Lepisosteus oculatus: one gene and its partner. The protein of the gene in region 1 interacts with the protein of each later gene in a pairwise test. Links are inferred from orthologs where the notes say so. Each region holds a gene or a part of one and is shown in the gene's direction. Other genes may lie near its edges. The genes, in order: SAM pointed domain-containing Ets transcription factor and nkx3-1.

What was found.
Region 2: the proteins of SAM pointed domain-containing Ets transcription factor (region 1) and nkx3-1 interact in a two-hybrid assay, tested with the Homo sapiens proteins (2 studies listed by BioGRID). The link is inferred for Lepisosteus oculatus from reciprocal best matches to the Homo sapiens genes SPDEF and NKX3-1.

Annotation. Positions count from the first base shown.
Region 1 is NC_090700.1:29,765,068-29,775,604, reverse strand, and holds the start of SAM pointed domain-containing Ets transcription factor, read left to right. Parts: upstream 1-5,499; 5' UTR 5,500-5,984; intron 5,985-10,537. UniProt on the Homo sapiens protein: May function as an androgen-independent transactivator of the prostate-specific antigen (PSA) promoter. Binds to 5'-GGAT-3' DNA sequences. May play a role in the regulation of the prostate gland and/or prostate cancer development.
Region 2 is NC_090697.1:72,161,273-72,170,294, forward strand, and holds nkx3-1 (homeobox protein Nkx-3.1), read left to right. Parts: upstream 1-6,011; 5' UTR 6,012-6,103; coding exon 6,104-6,395; intron 6,396-6,987; coding exon 6,988-7,421; 3' UTR 7,422-7,547; downstream 7,548-9,022.

The DNA of each region.
Region 1 (10,537 bases):
TGCAAATGATATTTAAAGTGAATGTGTATTTCTGAATAACGGAGAAAAAACTCCTCAGACTCGGGAGATCATATTCCTAATGCAATGAAACATAAAAGATGTAAAAGCTGGCAGCAGGAATTCATTCTCTCTTGAAAAAGTAAAACTGCTTTCTTCCTTGACCTACTACACTGCAGGAGATTAACTCATTAAGTTAACATCACACCACAGGCACACTGGATAGTGTAGCTTAATTACTGTACACAGTATGTACGTTGTCCCCAGGGGTCTTGAAGGTGCACATTAATTCAGGAAAATGGATTTCATTTGAAAGTGTAGTTAAAACTGAAATGCTGAAATCTATCTAGTTTCTAAGAGCTCCATTCAAGTCAGGGTCACAGGGGAGCCAGAGCCCAGCAAGCAACAGGAACAAGGCAGGATATTCCCTGGATGAGACACCAGTCCATCACAGGGCTGACACACACACACACGTTCACAACAGGGCCAGTTTTCCCAGAAGCCAATTCACCAACAGTACCAGTACATCTTTGGACTGTAGGAAGAAACTAGAGCACCAGAAGGAAACCATGGAAACACAGTGAGAATACAGAAACTCCGTGCAGTGAGTCCCCACTAATTGAACCCAGGTCCCAGCACTGCAAGGCAACAATGATAACCACTGCACAACTGTGTAGCCCTGAAATGTGATAATCAAATATAACTCTCAATAAAAGCAAGCTTTAATATATGAATACATAGCAATTTAGGGGGTTTTAATTAACTGCAATGTGTGGTGATATAGCTGTTTGGTACTTGTTCTACAGTGCGTCGGTGGCAAAGTTATTTATCAGAATCGTTTGAATCTAATCTTAGCGTATTTATTATATGGATACATTGTATATATAAACACATCCAGAGACGAAATATCCAGGCACTGTGTAAATATCATTGTATCGCTATTTGTCGTCTGTAATTATTCGGTCGCTGTATTGCCGTGTTTGCTCTCTTCCTTTGCAAGACTTTGTATTGCCCTTAATTGGTAAACACAAATCAATTAAGACATATATGGCATAAGCTTCACACATTAAATGAGTGACATTTTAATTTTAATTTCCTTTATCTTGTATTGATTAAGACGTACAGCCCTAAATTGCACAGATTATGACGGATTTCTAGATTAATCCCAGTGACCATGGGGTCTGATCACTGACAGGACTAGTGTGCAGATATTCAGTGTGATTCAATCAGGGTAACAAAGCACAAATAACAGTAGGAGCACAAGTTCATGGGGACATTTGCATATTACTTTCTACATTAGGGCCAAAATACAACGTAATTGCTTGGAACTTGAGCTTCAAAACTGGTCTTTCCCTCTTCTGTGTCAGATAGTTCACAATTCCTGCAGCACACACCCTGATTTGTCATCATAGTAATCACCTGTTCCATGATAATATTTAACTCCTGTCACTCCAGTAGAAGGCAAAGAGAAGAAAACGTTTTCTATTGTATGGCAAACACAAGATGAATATACTGCTTTTCAAATGAATAGCAAACAACATTTAACCAATTTCAGTTTAATCAGGGAATAACAATAACAAAAACTGGAAAATCTCAGGAGCACTGTCTACTATGTACAGTAGCCATGGTCATTATGAGAATGTAATGATGCTACTTTTACCACAAATCACAGCTACTAATGTACTACAGAACAAATAATAACTTCTTATTTAGCATCCTGATAGATTTACAGTAGAGTCTGCTTAAGAACAGGTTCAAGTGGGGAGCTGCGTCAGCATGCCTAGGCTTCAAGGGAACAAGTAAAGGTTTATTCCATGCTGAAAAGAGAAGAAAAGAAACACAACGTCTTGTGTAGAGGTGCTGTAGAAAAGGGCTCATGGTGCTACATGTGTTGTACTCTCCTTCTGCTGACTTGAAAATCTGAAAATATCATCTTTGAAAAGATCGTGAGATTTATATGAATTCTAAATATTATATACCTTTTATTTTGGTTAATTACAAGTATACAAATTGGAACAAAAGCATACTTTGAGCTCAAGCCAAAGTTTTGGGGGACACTCAAATTAAGTTAAGTTCATAGAGTGAAATATTTAGTTGCATATCCTATTGAGCCAATAGCTGCACGATGCCCAAGAGATGTTGAGCTCCCCAAATCCTTTGTGTATAACCATTTGAGAGAGTTTGCTGCAGTCACATTGATAATTGGCCTATTCTTGATCATGGAGCATTCTGACTTTATTTTTTCTGCATGTCTGCTCCATTTGATTGAAATCTTGGCTAATTTTAGGTATTCCACATTCACATTTTCTTCCTTTTTGTCCCATGAGTATGGCAGCAGTTTCTTCTACAAAATATTTCAGCAAACTACCAAATTCATTTTGCTGCTGCCTTCATTACTTATAGTGTATCATCAATAAAGATCAGTTCCAGAGCCATGACACTGCCTCCACCATGCTTTACAGATGGGGTCCTGTAAAGTATTTGCAGTTTTATTTCACTGTACTGTAAATCTTCCATCACTTCGGTAGAGGTTTATCTCGATCTTATCTGACCCTACAACATTGTTCCAGAACTCTCCCAGCTCTTTGTTTTCCTTCTGAACAATGTCCAGTCTGCCTCTTCTGTTCCTGGAGCTGATGAAAGGTCTACATCTTGCAGTGCAGCCTTTGTAAATCTGCTAAGTCTTCTGTGAACTGTGGGTTCTGACACTTTCACCCATTCACTCCAGAGACTGTTGCAGATTTCACTGACAGAGGTTTTCTTGTTTTCCTTGACAGCTCTGCTAGTTTATCTGTCATCGTCTGCAGATGTTTTCCTTGGCTGACTCAGTCCTTTCGGTATATAGTAATAATAGCCGTGGTTTCGTTTTGTCTTTGGAAAGTTTCAAATTCTTGTTTTTTGTTTGGCCAATGTCTGTGTCGTGGTTCAGACTTAGTTCTGTTTTCTCCCCGCTTCATAATTGCCAGCTTTTAAGAGAAAGCTCTTTGGTTATTTTTTTAAATTATTATTAAGTTGTGACTACAGACTCTGTAGCTAATCGCTGAAGCCAAAGTAAAGTCAAGCTGGCAGTCAGGTTCACAGCTCCTTTGTGAGTTCCTAATTATCCACCAATTAACAGCTGACTGTCATAAATAAACTCCAGTCAGCCAATTATTGCTATACATTTTCTCCTTCAGAATATCATTTTCATTGACCAAAGATGATTGAACTGAACTAAATCAAATTAAGGAAAAATTATATATATAAATAAAAGTCGTACTTACCAGTTATATTTTTTCGTGATAAATGACTGCTAGGGTTTATAATGAAAATTCCAGTTTAGACATCACTGTCCACATTCTTCTAGAGTGCACTGTATTTTAGTTGGCATAACATCGAGTTGATGTGAACACCACCATTTAAGGAACAAGGCTCAGTGCAGTGCACAACACAAAACTGGCTCCTGCAGAAAACTTAAAATTAACATCTTTTAATTGATTCATATGATTGTTAAATATGTAGTCAAGAATATCCTTCATACCCTTCTATAAAACCGATTGTAGAATAGGGGCTGAGAAATGGTGATAACAGACCTCTACTGTACCATGGTGAATCTTGTGTTCTTATTAAATGTGCAGTTTATATCAAGGGATGTTGAAATTGTACACTGCACTAGTAAGATCTCATTTACAATATAATTCTACATTTTCTATCACCACATTATAAAAAGATATCGCTGCTCTGGAGTCAGTCTAGATTGCAACCAGATACATTCTGGGGCTTAAGGGAGTGTCCCAAACTGACAGACTGAAGAAACGGAGTCTCTTTAGTCTGAACTGAGAGTCCAACACTGACAATCTGAAGGAAATTAACCGTTTTTGTACTTGAACACAGAAGACTATGAGGGGACCCGATACAAGTATTCAAAAAGGCCCTCAAAGGCCCTGACACAGTGTACCCAGTGGATTACTTTTCAGAATGAGCAGTGCGACAGGAGGCAGAGGACAAATTGGAAAGTAAATGGAAGTGCGTCTGAAACTGAGAGCAGCCCTTTACAGAAAGGACTGTGGAGTTCTAGAAGCTTCACTGCCATGCAGCTGCTGCTAATACTCTGCTAATGCTAATGTTTTTATTTCAAGAAACAGCTATATCAGATTCTCAGAGCAGTTAACTCTTTACTCTTCTTATTTTATTATGAATCTGCCCAGGATTTTTGCAGATTTCCTATACACTTTGAACAGATTTCCCACAGATCACCTATCCATGATCTTACCATGTTTTCACACTTTTGCGCTGATCTTGCTGTATTTTACTACACCTTACTGTGATTTTACCTAGGTATTTAGAAGGGCATATTTAAAAAATATACAGTACATATGAAACAACTCTGCTACATTACAATGCCAAACACAACTGTTCAGTTTTTGCTCCATCTGTCTAAACCCACTATTGAATCTATTCATGTGCATCTGTGTGATGTACAAGGCCATACTATCTGCTAAGCTGTATTTACTCCATTTTATGCTTGGCATTGTGTTACGTACACGTCATTTCACATTGGTAAACAATGTAGTGGAATTCTAGATCCACAATCACAATGCATGTGCGATTACGTTTTTTTACTGACCACACCATCTCTTAACATTCCTTTATAAGTTATATATTTAAAACAATTTAAGCCTCAATAATAGTAACACACCCTTTCAGAAATAAAAAGGCTGACAAAACATGTTAAAAAACTATTTAAAACTATTCAAATTATGTAGTACACTCAAGATCTCTATCCCGCAGACCAGAAAATATAATCATATTTACAAAAGAGTCAGTTAGCAAAAAGCCTTTGTGTTTAAATAACTCCACATCCTATTACAGGGCATTACAAATTGTGGGTGAATACTTCTGTTTTGCCTTCTAGCATGTAGGACCAAACAGATATTAGGAGATATTTTAGGAAATTTTATTTTTCCAGTGCGTGCCAAGCTGTAAATTTGACAACTACTCAGCCGAGAATCAAAGCTACACCTCTTGTGGGAAAATAACATCAATCGAATTGGATAGCCATTATTTTACTCCTGAGCCTGAGTTCTGCAGACCCCTAAATCTTGTAATCTTGTAATCTGAGAATTGTAATAGCGATTGTAATATGAAGCAGAAACGAGAAGGGGGGAATGGGAGAGATGAGCTCAGAAAAATAACCAAGCTGCAGCAGCAGTGCCCTTGTGAACCAGGGAGGAAACTTCCATCTGAGCCATCTATTCCCAGCAGCTTGTGAACTCATTTCTCAGCACACAGAGCCCTCCTCCCCTCACTCTCCCAGCCTGCAGCTGTGGCCAACAAAGGGTTAAATAATAAGAAGGAAACAAAAGTTTCGTTTCTTCCTTAAGGGGGAAAGAGAGCCCTCTCCGAGATATTTAAATACCTCCGACTGAGGTAGGCACACACAGGCTGTTTACTCAGGTAAATAAGGTCTCTCTATAAATAGGAGCTGAGTCCATGGAGCAGGCATTGCTTCACTCTCAGGCACACTGGCCGATGGGAGACGGGGCTAGCTGACTGGAACTCGCCCACCAGCCCGCCAGCTCGCCCACGCACTCACAGGCATGCCCCTTCTTAGACCTAACCTGTAGAGCTGCCTGCCTTTGCCTCGCACTCCAGGCCAGGAGCTGCTCACAGTAAGGGGAGCACTGTAAGCTGTAAGAGGAAGCCGAATGTATACGATCCCCCCCCCCCGAACCAGGAGAAGACCGAACTGGGCCACTGACGCGTTCTGATCCGTCCAGCACACCTGTTCCCCTCCCATCACCTGCGTGCGAGACCTCAGGCGCTCTCTGCTGTGTTTGGATGCTTTTTTTTTGAGACTCCGGGTAGAGGGCTGTCAGAGCAGTCAAGCCATTGACTGGACCATTTCTGGACTGGAGGCAAGAGCATCCCGTTTCTGCAAATTGAAAGAGACAGAGGACTTCAGCTCCCCAAGAGCGACTGATCTGCGAAGCTCTTCCCGTTGCATGGTAAGAAAGAGCACTGTTTCTTTATACACAGTCTGTTTATAGGGGTGACATTACTAACATGCTTTACAAAACAAGATTAATTGGCCAAAAGTGTCAAAGTGATCAGGTTCACTTGGAAATGGGAGCACTTTAAGGGAATTAAATTATATCCCTAATGACTTACTGGATGACCTAACTCTATGAGCAAACCAGTGAGCCTGCATTGCATTCACATGACTCCGGGACACAGGAGTTGAACACGTACTGTAAATGAGAAGAAACAAGTCTGTAACCAACTTTTCCGCTTTTCATTTTGAAAGTGTTTGAAACCAAGGACAAACATTCAACAGTACCTTTCTACTTTGCTCTAATTAGTTCCTGTCGAAGCAGGTGACACTGAAACACTAGAGGCTTCTTTTGAAAGAAAAATAGTAAGAATGGGGAAACCCATGAATAAGAAATGCAATTTCCCTCAGGGAATTTTTTTTTTATAATTTTCTCTAAACACACAAACATGTAAATTAGAATTTATTCCCACATTTTGCTTAGTATGTTTCATACCACTTTCTGAATATTTGTGCTGTTTATTGTCTCTTCCAATCCAACTGTGCACCATCTGTGAAGTTCATGAATTTGAGAAGCGCTGTCTGAGATTCTGTTTCACACATGTGGAATATGCACTCCTGTTGAGGGCATGGGAGGAAAGGTTTTGCTAAAAATCATAAACTATAACTGGGTCCTATTGTACCTTTTGGTCAGGTTTTGCAAGACCATACAAACTGTATATAATAACTTGTCTTCACATTTTTATCAAGCTGAATTGAAAGGAATAATCTGTATAATTGAAACAATTAGGCTCTGTGATACAGTGACATTACACTATTTAAAGAAATGGCAGGTAGACTGAAAACCAACTCAGGAACATAGTTGCCATACACATTGTGGACTAGTAATATCTTCTGTACTATGTTATATCACTACTATACATTTACAATGACACTATGCCACTGTACCCTTTTTTTTGCTTTTTTGCACTATGCAACTTTTTTTTACCATCATGAGTCTAAAATATGCCCTTATGTGCATTATATCATACTGTAAGTCTCCTAGCAGAAATGAACAAGTACTGTTTGATAACATGTTGATTGTTGCCAAAACATCCCTGTATCAGAATATCTTGGACTAAACCAAGTCTTTCTGCCCTAAACCTAATTTTGCGTTGTGCTTATAATAAGAACTAATTTATTTATTATAATGGATCTGTAATGACAATGACACAATGAGCACCACACACTATATTTTAGGCTTGATCTCAGCCATATCTTTTCTTAATGAAGCAAAACCAAAAAACGGTTTTGTGACGTCTCAGTCTGAGCAAAATAGTTTCTTCTGTGGTTTTAACAGCGTGCCGCTGTGTAGTCCTCTACAGTTTTGAAAAGGTAGAGGAGTACACAATTTTATGGTTTAGTAACATATAATTGTGTGGTTTTTCTGCTTTCTCCAATAAAGCCTCTAGCCCTCCTAAATCTTTGTCTGGGAGCTGTCCTTCAAAGTTGAGTCAAAGCAGTTAAGCCAGTCCCTAATGCAACCTAGAGCTGAAGGATTGCACTAATCACAAAGATTTAAAAACTCTTATCCTGCCCAAATGAGTGCCAATTTCACTTTGGAATCCAATTTAACTGAGAGATTATCCATCCATCAATCTTTCACCCTTCATATGCAAGCCTAGACCTGGCTATATAAAGTTTGGAACTTCAGTTTATTGTCCTGTTAGATCCTAAATATATCCTATTATACTGTACATGCATCTTATTTTTTGATATTCTGATCAGGATAGAATTGCTACACATAGAGGTTGTTGAATACACACCAGTACAGTATATCGGTCTTTTATAGAGTTTAATGTTTGCATGATTTACAGGAAAAACAAAAGCCTAAAAACAAATGCAATCACCTTCAGAACAATTGTTTCCCACTTCACCAAAAAAGCAACTAGATCAGCAGAGATGCAGCTCCAGGCAGAGATGAAACAAATCCAGAAAAGAGGAATAGATCATTTATCTGGTTAAATGCAGTTTACGAATTGGACACTCTCTGGAGATGTATCCACACTAGAGCCTTGCTAAGTATCCTGTTAAGTGTGTCACTGAATTCAATAAAAAGCTAAAGACTTTGAAATATTACATCTAAAAATATGTATACAGTTTTGTTATGGGGAATTAGGATTAAAGTTAGAAGTTATGAACTTGTGGTTCCACTTAACCACCTGAGAAGGGTGGTCAATTGAATATTTCATATTTTATTGGGTTAAGCCCACTTTCTGAGTTGCAACTCAGTTTGGAGACAGAAGGAAGTGGAGCTCATTTTGCTCTGCAGTAAGAAAGCCAGCCTGCTGGGGGTGCTTTGTGTGCAGAGGTTGATTCACCAGGGAGCCCAGCTCCTTGTGAATCGTCAGGTGTTCCTGATGGTCTTTCCAGCCAGAGGGTGGATCCCCCGGTCCCACAGTGCAGCTGTTTCCACACGTGTGTGTGCGTAACAGCTCGCAGGGCTCTTCCACCATCTGCAAACAGACCTTATCAGCCACCGCTGGGGAACTGACGTTTCGCGTCCAGTGACGCAGGCGAGAACAGGCAGAGGAGAGGAAGTTTTCTCCTGCAAAAAAAACATGTTGAATTTGAGTACAATTAAGGTTAAAGCCTTTGCAACAATGTGACACCTCATGATCACATCAAAGTGGGCATCATAAAGGCAGTGGCCTTGCATAAACAGACTTAAATCTTTCCGCCTGAATTTCAATGTACCAAGTTGCTTTTGCATCACTTTGTGCTCTAGATCACAATTTCGAAGCACTTGAGAGTTTGCAAGTAATTCTTGAGAACGGCAATCAAGCCTTTGGGAGACTCGAGTACAGTGCTTTCATTAACATTACATTTGTTTTCTAGAAAATTCCTTAGCATATTTAAAAAATCGTTCTGTAATGTAGCCTAAAAACAGTGTTTTACAAAAGGACATTGGGTTCTAACAATCTGAGGAACTGACGTTGGATTTTCATTGCTGTGCCTTGTACAGTAACTGTTAAATAATGGAAAATGTAAAACAAGAAAGCACACTCAGATATCTACAGTATATATAGAATCTGCTACCTTAAATCATACACATCATTATCATTGCATACTCTTCATACGATGAAATATACCTATTTCACCATAAGCATGACCAATAATCAGTATGAGGATCATTAATCAGATATCAAAAAACATATCACACCTTCTGTAAGAATCATTTTCATAAAAGGATATATAATTGTCTGGATAGAGACAGGTTCTTTAATGCAGAAAGATAAACTGACAACTGTAATAAACAGTCCTAAACATTCCAGTCCGTGACATTGCAATTGAAATTCTTAAAGCTTTTTGCACAGATTCCCAGTTTGAGAATTAAAAGTTTTTTTCTACAACAGATAACCAATGTTGCCCAGCTCCTCACTGAGTGGTCCAACTGCCTGTGCCTTAAATAAGTCAAAATCTTTTCACTTAAGAAATCTTCTGTTTTCCCAGTGTTTTTACTCTTCAATTATGACACCTCCTCTCACCACACAATTACACCCCTAATGCGTTTTTCTGGCTTGAAGAGCAACTCGTAAGTAAGACGAATCTTCAGACCTGTTGTGCAGTGATGTGGTGTCAGTCCTGACCACATTGGTTAACAAGCTGTGTTTGAAGACTAGGTTTCTTGAAGACTAGAAAGACAGCACTGAAATTTCTTAAATTGTAACAATTATGTAGTTCTTTCGTGAAGCCAAACCACTTTCATCAGAAAATCAATTTCTTCTGTTAAGGATAGTGGCAACCAGGGACCTGTCCCAGTAGACTAGCTCACAAGCTGGGAGAGGTTTTTTTCCGCAGGGTACACACTCCTAAGAACAATTTGGACACGCCAATTAATCTATTGCACATGGGTGGCGAGAGAGGAGCTGAAGATCTAGGGAGAACATGCAAAAATCCACACAGAAGGCACCCAAGTCTGGAATCAAACCCACGACTTGAGAGCTACAGTACGAGTCAGTAGTACTGACCGTCACACCCACGAGCAGCAATGACACGACCTGGTTCAGTCATCTCCAGGTGATATAAAACATCTCTGTAGCAAGCAGCCACTAAAGCAGGGTTTTTGAAAACACAAATTGTCCTTCAACCTGTCTGAGCTGACTCCCTCATCAAAACTCCACACTGAAAGCATTTTTGTTTTGGAGAGTGTACGACCGATGTTGGTCTGATTCTGCAAGTTCATTACAAATGTAAGTGGTTCATAGATATGGAGTTCGGTATGGTTTCCGTAGTGTTATATGAATCTTCTGCCACACAAGCATATGTTTAAAATTAATACCATCTTTAATTATTTTCTAAATGCAAGATTAAAATCTAAACCTGTTGAGCCAGAGTTACATGTCAAAGGTGGATCACATTAACCCTTCCTTGGTTGTAGGTCAAACTGTCACCTAACGGCAGCATACAACAGTTTTGTTAATATTACTCAATAATTTTTCCACTCATTCCGCCAGCTGTTCTGTAGGT
Region 2 (9,022 bases), on another chromosome or scaffold:
AGATTTTCATCATGCTGTGCACTGCATCACCAAAGAACAATACAAGTGACTTCAGAAAAAGAAGTATAAAACCCTTAGTCCAGCAATATTCAATCACCTTTCTCTGAGTTCATAGCTTTGCCTTTTACTTAAGTAAAACCATTGTAATTTTCACTCGGGTTTTAAAGTAAATGTTTAAAAGAATTCTAACCACTAAAAACTCCTGTAAATATATACAGGCCTGAGAAAGAGCACTGCAGCAGTAATTGAGATCGAAATGGAACCCCAGAAATGATCGATTGAGGGGTCTCCATTGGACTGGCACTACACAGTTAGTAAAAACACAGAGCAAGCCAGTTCAAGACATATGGTTTCCTGGACTAAGAGGTCAGAAACCTCACTATCCCACATCTGGTGGTGGATTAGGCTAGGTCACTGGATATCAGGGCAACTGCGTTAGCTACAATAACAAAAAAAAGGCCAAATACATATTCCACAGGGACACAAGACTTGTGTGACACAACCAGTGTTCTTCCCATCACGTTCCTTGTGTTACGTTAACAAGGCCTCAGGATGACATAGCTGGTTGAACTTCCAAATCAATACTGTACCACTGCGCATTAGTTATTAAGACTGACATCAGCAAGAGACTTTACATAGGAAGTACACATTTAAGAACACACTCGCATATATGCTATTATCAACATGACACTGATATGCAAGAAATGGATTATGGTTTCTAACATTTTTAGATTGGTCAAGAGTCTTTCATTTTGTTAATTGTCTATCCAATGAGGAAGCAAAATAACAACCTGACACAACACCCAATTAAATGAAGCAGCACACTCGCACATACTATAAAGTGTGTAGGAGCATTTACAAAGGCCCCAGGACCATGTGGCTGGCTGGCTGTGATAGGAAAGTCCGAGCAGTGCAGATACCTCATTTGAAGGTGCAGATACTTAATTTGAAGTATAAAAATCAGAAGCAAACATTAGACAGTAGCTTGCTCTCCACCTGTCCTGTATAGCAACAGCAGGTAAAGAATTTCCATATTGATCATGATAACTGCTCTCACAACCTTCTGACCCTCCATATGAAGAAGTGCCATTTTATTCTAACGACCTGGGAAGATACATGTGCTTGGATTTAATTAGGCATCTCAGCGCCTGTGTATGGTCTTTTTTGTTTGTAGCTGTTTCTTAAAATTGCAAGAAATAAACGGAAAAAGCAAAGCAAAAAAAAAAACAGACATCCCAGACATCACTGGGCCAGGTCAGCAGTGACAAGAGAGGCAGCAGTTCAGGAAGAGTGAAGCACAGCCCAAGCGGTCAGACTTTTTGTCTGTGCTGCCTGTTTAAACTTCTGGGGGCTTCTGTTATTGTAAAGGGGGACTGGAGACGAGGAAGCTCCAGACCTTTCCCTACCTAAACCTAAAGAGGTCAGTCCAGTACAGCGGGCCAGCAAACAAACAAATGGAGCAGAATGTGTGCGTCAGGTGAAGTACCACAGCTAATGATTTGGCCACATTGCTGAAGAAACTCCCACTGGGCCACCCAGACAGCTCCACCACTGCAAGACTCTCTGGGCCCTGCTCAACAGGAACTTAATTCACTCCCCAGAACCCAGGGTGAGGGTGCTCTGACACTCAGGGCACATCTGAAAATACTACAGCTATCCCGTTGCACAATAAATCTTTCACAGCTGTTTACCAGCCAAACAGATAAGAGTCCCAGGAGCTGTATCCAGAGCTGTGTTGAGTTGTTATCTGGGAGATAGTCTTATCTTACAACTGTCCTGTACAAGCCAGCATTGAATACATTTCATTCATTCCTACTGAACACACAGGGTAGGAGGGAGGAGGGTTGCATAATTCCTTTTTCTTCAACCAAAAATATCAGTTCTTTTTACTTACATGGCATTCAGAAGAAGTTAATTTTTAGCGCGATACACACTGCACTAAGAAGCATCTACATTGACTTCGTTAATATTCAATGTTGGTGTTGGGTGGTATCTTGTACAGAAAACAGCAAATCACTTGATTAAAAAAAAAGAATTGCATGACACATAGGACTGTTCTGTGAAACAAAACTTCCTGGGTGACCTAAAGGGTATGACTCTGTGTTTATTAAGGTACCATAACCAGATACATAGACAGGACTTGTGGTTAATACATCATCAAGAAATACCCAAACAGATAAAAATCAAAATAGCAATGCCATAAGATTATGATGATGATGATAATTAAACTGGTTCAGGTTCTAACCAGACATTGTTAGTAGTTTGGAAATATTTAGAAACATCTTGAAAAACAAATAAACTACTCACTTTAACCCTGACCCAGAAAAATTCTTCATTCTCCGCCCTGTAAAAGTAAACAACAACTATGCTACACAAATAATGCCACAGATACAATATCAGGCTAGTAAAAACAAGAAATCCCAATCTGACACATTCTGGGTCTAACTTTGACTGAGTTGTACATTTTTACTTTGTGATGATGATGATAGCCGAGCTATTTATGAGGGATGTATAACAGATGGGGTGACATTAACACACCACAGTTTCCTTCTCCGAGCCAGTTTCAACTGTTTTCAGAGGCCTTCTGTTGACGACACAAAGCTGTAGGTCACATCATTAAGTGGTAAAGATCTTTATGAATTAATATATCTGATGCCTTTAAGCAAAGCAGCTTGAAGAGGTTACAATCACCATATTTTCTCAAATGATGGTTCAGATTAAACCAGGTGGGTTTGCTTTAAATACCTTGCTAGGAGGCATAGCATCAGCTGGATTTGAACTCACAACCCTCTGGTCTGGAGTCCTCTGGCTCACCCTCCAAAAAACATCCATGCCTATGTTTCTATATTATTATTGTTGTTGTTGTTCCATTGCCTTTTTTTCCCCCACAAAGTGAAATTTTTGAATGATCTGCAAAACCATATGAAATCCTTACTGAAATGTCTCTTGACATATTTTGAATTTTGGAGAAATTTCTCCCGCTGTAGCTGGGTAATCTGGTGTATGAGGACAGAACCAACACTGTAAAAATATATCAGAATGCAAAACCAGAAAAAAAAAACTGTGTGCTTCCACAATATATGTACCATACACCACTGACCTCAGAGCAACTAGGGGACTCTGCACCAGAGACCACATAATGTAAATTAAAAGAGGATAAACTTTTATTAAAGATGGACTAGAAATAACTGCAGAAAGTAATTCTAGCTCAACATTAATGATATATGTTTTTAGGTTATGTTTGTATATATTTGAAATAGTTATGCTGGAAATCTTTTGGTAAAGCATTTATCAGCATTTTGTAAAATAATGAAATAGATGGATGGTTCTGAAATGACTCTGGACTGGACCCAAATACAGTGTAGCAGTATTCAGAATCAAATAGCCCTTATATGCTGCTCCGCACAGGAGCTTGCACTTGAATGTTGCCAGTTGGCACCATACCAAAAATTATTTCAGCACATTTTGTTTTTTTATGAGCATCAATACTCTTTAATAACAGCATCCTCAGCTCCACTTGAAGTGAAAACTAAGGCTACAGAAATGCATCACAACTCTGGAACTGCTCATCATGATGCAACTTGAAATGAGCACTACAGCTAAAAAAAATAAAAAAAATAAATGGCACTAACGAGAAAGAACGATGTTGTATCAGCCATAGGAACCAGTGTTTTTCAGTAATCTGTTTACTGGGATGAACAATGAATTAAACCCTCACCAGGACCTTGAGGCGTTATCTTATCTCATGTTTATAACCTCAGAAACTACTGTTATTTTGCTAGTTACATCTAAGTGTAGGTTAATTAATGCTCAAAGACAAAACACACAACAGACTTACCCACCTTCCTGCAGTTCACTGCTTTGCTCTTGTTAAAAATGTCTTTGTTCTTATTAAATTAAATTGGTTGTGGTGTATCAGTCATTAACATCCAATTATACACAACCTATGGTCAACATGTAAACTGGAGACAATCTGTTATTTGGTATTAAATGATATGTCAAATGTAACAGAGTAAGCCTACAGTCCATTGTCTACAGAACGGCTTCCCAGCTCCAGTCCTGGAGAAACACTGTCTTCTGAATTCCATTCCAGCTGAGCTCTATATCTCCAGCGCTAATTGGTGATTTAATTGGGCTGTTCAGGTTAATTGGGCTTGTTTATACTTTTTTTCAACATATTGCCTTGGTCAGTACTGAATGTAAAAAATAACCTACTTCGTGGATTTCGGTTTCTAAATATGTCAGTGCACAAACGTTCCTCATCCACTCCGTCACCACATCGGCCATTGCTTCTCATGAAAACCGCTCCTGCCTCCTGATCAGCGGAGGAAGAACAGCCGCAGGTGGGAATGACACAGTAGAAGACACGCCCACGATTTCTGCCTCCTCCAGAGGGCTAATATCTTACATTTCAGGCACCGTGCCCAAACGAGGGTGGTTCTGAAAACGGAAGTCAGAACTGGGTTGATACTAATTGAATTGCCAATTCAGTCGGTTTACAAAACTTACAAATATTTTCAAAATAGAAAGCTGAAATCAATTAACGTGTGGTTAAGCATAAATCCAACACAGTGGTCCTGCAGTCCTACAGACTCTTCAATCTGTGTACCTGTGTGTAGGTATTTAATAGCCTAACATTTCCTTATGACTTGTAACAAGTTATATACAGTATATAGCATTATATTTTAGAAGTAATAAGAACAAATATGGCACATGGTCTGATCTACTCAATCCTTTGTCATTATGCAGTGAAGCTGTAGAAAGCCATAATTTTAGTTTAGAAATATTTTGAATAAAATGCTCCAACACAAGGCATCAAAGGTAATACCAATTGCATTTCTGTAGACAGAGTGAAAGAAAAAACAGTTTTCCCACCAAAGCAAATTGATGCTTTTCAAGTAATGTAGTATTGTACTGTAGTCCTCACATAAAATTATTTTTCCAAATAATACTAATTGCCATTGATAAGCAAAAGTTTCGTATTGCTTTACTTTTCTGCTGCATTTAATCCGTCCTGTGCATGAAATTCCCGTTAATGTAAACGGTGATTTTTGTCAAATCTGAACATTTCAAACGCATATATTAACAGGCGTATTCAAAATACTTTTATTTTCCCCAAGCCTACCTGCCAGCGCAAATGGAAACCTGATTTAGAAATAATAATATTACAAATGGGGAAATTGTCTTCGTGTCGTTTAATTGTTCATGAACAAACTGTACAGGTGCAAGAATTATTAGTCGTTAAGTCGTTTAACGACTGATTGTGAGGCAGAACATGTCTAGTGCATACAATATGTTACAGTTTCACTACATAATTTTTAAAAAAATGCTGTCATTTTGAAATATTTCATGTTTCACGTATCCTAACATTTGCTACGGCTACGCGCATTCACTGTTAATCAGTGCAAATTTCTCTTTTTATTATTTGCGAAGTGCAGCTTAATATGGTTTAATTTCTGCGAGGATGCCCAGTTTGTTTTTTTAAATGCAGTGAGTGAAAAAAACGTAAAGATCACGATAAAACACTGAAATCCGTTAAAATATTTAAAAACGTAACGATTGCCCACAAACAATCATAAAAGTCCTATGTGTATTTTTTACCATAAAACTAAAATTCGTTCAAACATTTTAAAAACGTAACGATTGCCTACAATCATAAATATCCTATGCATATCTTACATACAGACCTAACATCCGTGAAAATCTTTTAAAAAACTTTATAGCGATTGTCTATAAATAATAATAAAGGTTCAATGCATATTTTCTACATATGAAACTCAATTAACATATGAAATTGAAAAGTACTGTAGATGTCATCACTGCGCAAGGATAGACTATCCGAAATAAAAACACCGTAGTGATTTATCAGGTAAAAAAAAGTGTGAACTGAGCAGATCTGTTTCTGTCATTAGCTCCGGCCCAGCCAATGATATTCTCCCTATGAGTCACCTTCCAATGAGAAGGAACGACAACGTCTGCGATTAGTCCTGTATAAATCGAGGAGGCGCAAAGGAAAGAGCTGCAGAACGGTTTTAAGATCCTATTGATCATAGAACAAAATCTGTTTCTTGCTGTGGGACCAAGCTGCTGTGTGGCTGACAGAATGTCTGCTTCTGTTAAACCGTTAACGTCGTTTCTTATTCAAGACATTTTGGCCTTTAAGGAAGAGTCACGCTTGAGCACCCCAAGGTACGCCTGTGCCAAAGAACCGAGGGAACGCGATAAAAGCCCCGACAGCATCTCGGCAGGTCGGGACACACGGTGCGCCACTGGCGAAAGGGCTTTTGCGTGTGCAGATTCCACAAACGAAGACATCCAGGAGTCTTTCAGCCATGCTCGTGAGACTGGCTCACACGACAAAAACACCTCGACGGACTTGAAGGCTGTGGGAAACGGTGAGGAAACTCCACAGTCTTCTGCAAACTTCCGAACGGAAGATCTAAACGGGTTACAAATTCATCTTCGTGGGGAAGGAAGGGGAAATAAGTTTTAAATCTCGGGTGATGGGAGAAGGATTTGCGCAGAACCATTCTAGACAGTTTGCATTACATTTCTAAAGGCGCAATTTGACGTTTTTATTGTAAAAGTTGTTGTGAATGCCAGGGTGTAAAATAATCGATAAACTAGAATATCGGTCCGTTGGGCTACCTGAAATCTGCGCTCTTACAATGTAGCTAGTAAACGACAGGAAACATCTGTTAAATCTAGTCAGTCCTGATCAATGACAGACATTTTTAAAAAATAACAATTTAAGGACTGTCATTATCCCATTAATTTCACTGTATGTTGTAATAACCTAAATGAAAACAAAAAAACAATGCATTATCATTACCCTTAAGTTATAACCTTAAATGGCCTTGGGATGATATAGCCTTTCATAAAAATAAAGTCTGTAATCTGTGTTGCCTTTCTTATAGGAAATCGAACATTGTTGGCATGATGTGTTGTAACCGAAAAACAGCTGAACAAATGATTTTGTCCCCGCAGACCGCAACGAAAGACCGCCTTGTGGCAGTTCCCCGGAGTGTGGCCGCGGCCGGTCCGCGGACAGTCGGAGCTCAGGCGGTAAGCAGAAGCGCTCCCGGGCGGCGTTCACGCACTTGCAGGTGCTGGAGCTGGAAAAGAAATTCAGCCACCAGAAGTACCTGTCGGCCCCGGAGAGGGCGCACCTGGCCCACAGCCTGCGGCTCACGGAGACACAGGTCAAAATCTGGTTTCAAAACAGGAGATACAAAACCAAACGGAAACAGCTGGCTACCGAATATGGCAAAGACCCCTTTAAAAGAGCCACTGGACTGCCTTGCTTGGGCACGGAGGAGGACTTGATAAGAGCGTCACTGTTCGCGACCATGTACAAGACTTACCACGATCAACAGCCCTGCCTTTATGGGCTAAACGTATGGAACTCTGCTGTGTGGTGAAAACCCGAAACGGGCCCTCAATAATTTATATTTTTTCAGTTATGCTGTTTTCTATATTATATATGTGATACAAAATAAAAACATGTAAATATTATTTCTTTTTTATAATAAACCTTTTTTCACCTATTGGTATATTGCTTATAGCTTTTCTCTTTTTGGACTTGGGGGGGCGAGGTTGGTTATGAAGTCGTTAAAGTAAATCTCATATAAATTAAGTATTCAAATTCTGCCCTGAAATACTAATTTTAGCACTCCTTTCCTCCTAACACGTATTCTGTTAAGAAATCCAAGCACACTTCTGTTTGCCTTTTGTTCTATTTAAATGACACACATTTTCCTTTAGCCTTTATGCTTAATACCAGTAAATTAAATGAGTAATAACATTCACATATGCCTAATATGTACACAACACCAACGATCATAATGCACTATTAAGAAAACCATAATTAGAAAAATGCATAATTAAACTTCACGCTACTGTACATATGCAGTATAGCAATATTATTCTTGTATGTTTTCCTGCTGTAAACACACATCAACTCTGATATGTGTTGAGAATATTGCTCAATATATATTATATAGTGACATTCATATAAGTCGTATTGCATTAATTTAAATCTTCTGACGTCAATCCTTTCATTCTGAAGACAGTATGTAACTATTCTACATCGATGTGTAATTTTGTATTAATTTTTATTTATTCAGTACATTACATTTAAATCAAATAAAATCTTTCCAACAGTAGCTGTTTTCTGTGTGACTTATGTGGGTCAGGCTTTTCATGTGGAGAAATCCTGCAACACATTTCAATGTGTCTCTCATGATGGAGACTCCTGCTGGATTAAATCTGAGATTGTGGCAATAGAAACAAGCTCTTCAGTTCGTGGGCTAACAATGATCGCAACTGTATTCAAATTCTGCTGAAATGCACAAACTGGCACCAGTACACTGGATACAGACAGGGAGTCAAGTAAAAACATGGGGGCCTTTTCAAATCCTGTAGTTTGAGTTATTAAGATAGAGATCAAGGTACCTGTATTGCAGGTTTATCATTTACTCTGGGTGAGGTGGTGGTGCCTTGTATCTCAAGAACCCCTACATACATCATAGTATTATCATTTTGTCGATAGCTTGAAAATATCAGAACAAACCAATCCACAAGAAACTATTGCAACCTGTTCAGGCTGTCAGGGGCAGGATGTTTCATTCAGTATGTACTGTATGTTAAATTTTGTGCGTATAGATAGAAAGAAGATGAAGAGGAAAGTTTATACGACTCGTATTTTACATGATCTAGTTTCTCGCTGAATATTATAGCCAGAACAAGGTGCTTAGATGAACACATTTATGTACTTTGCATCCAATTTCATTAGTGATGTGATTTTAAACTTTCCTCAAATGCTGGTGTTGCCTCTTCATTTTGTGCTTTTCTGGACAATTCTGGGATCTCTAGGAAACTGATGCTTTTGAGCACTTGAGTTGTTTGGAAAGTAGTGCACAATAAAACTAGCAGGTTTGAACTGGTTCATTGAATATCACACCATATATTACTGTTGCTATCCAGTGGAATTCTTGTTTTCCATTCTAACTGCTGAGGCACA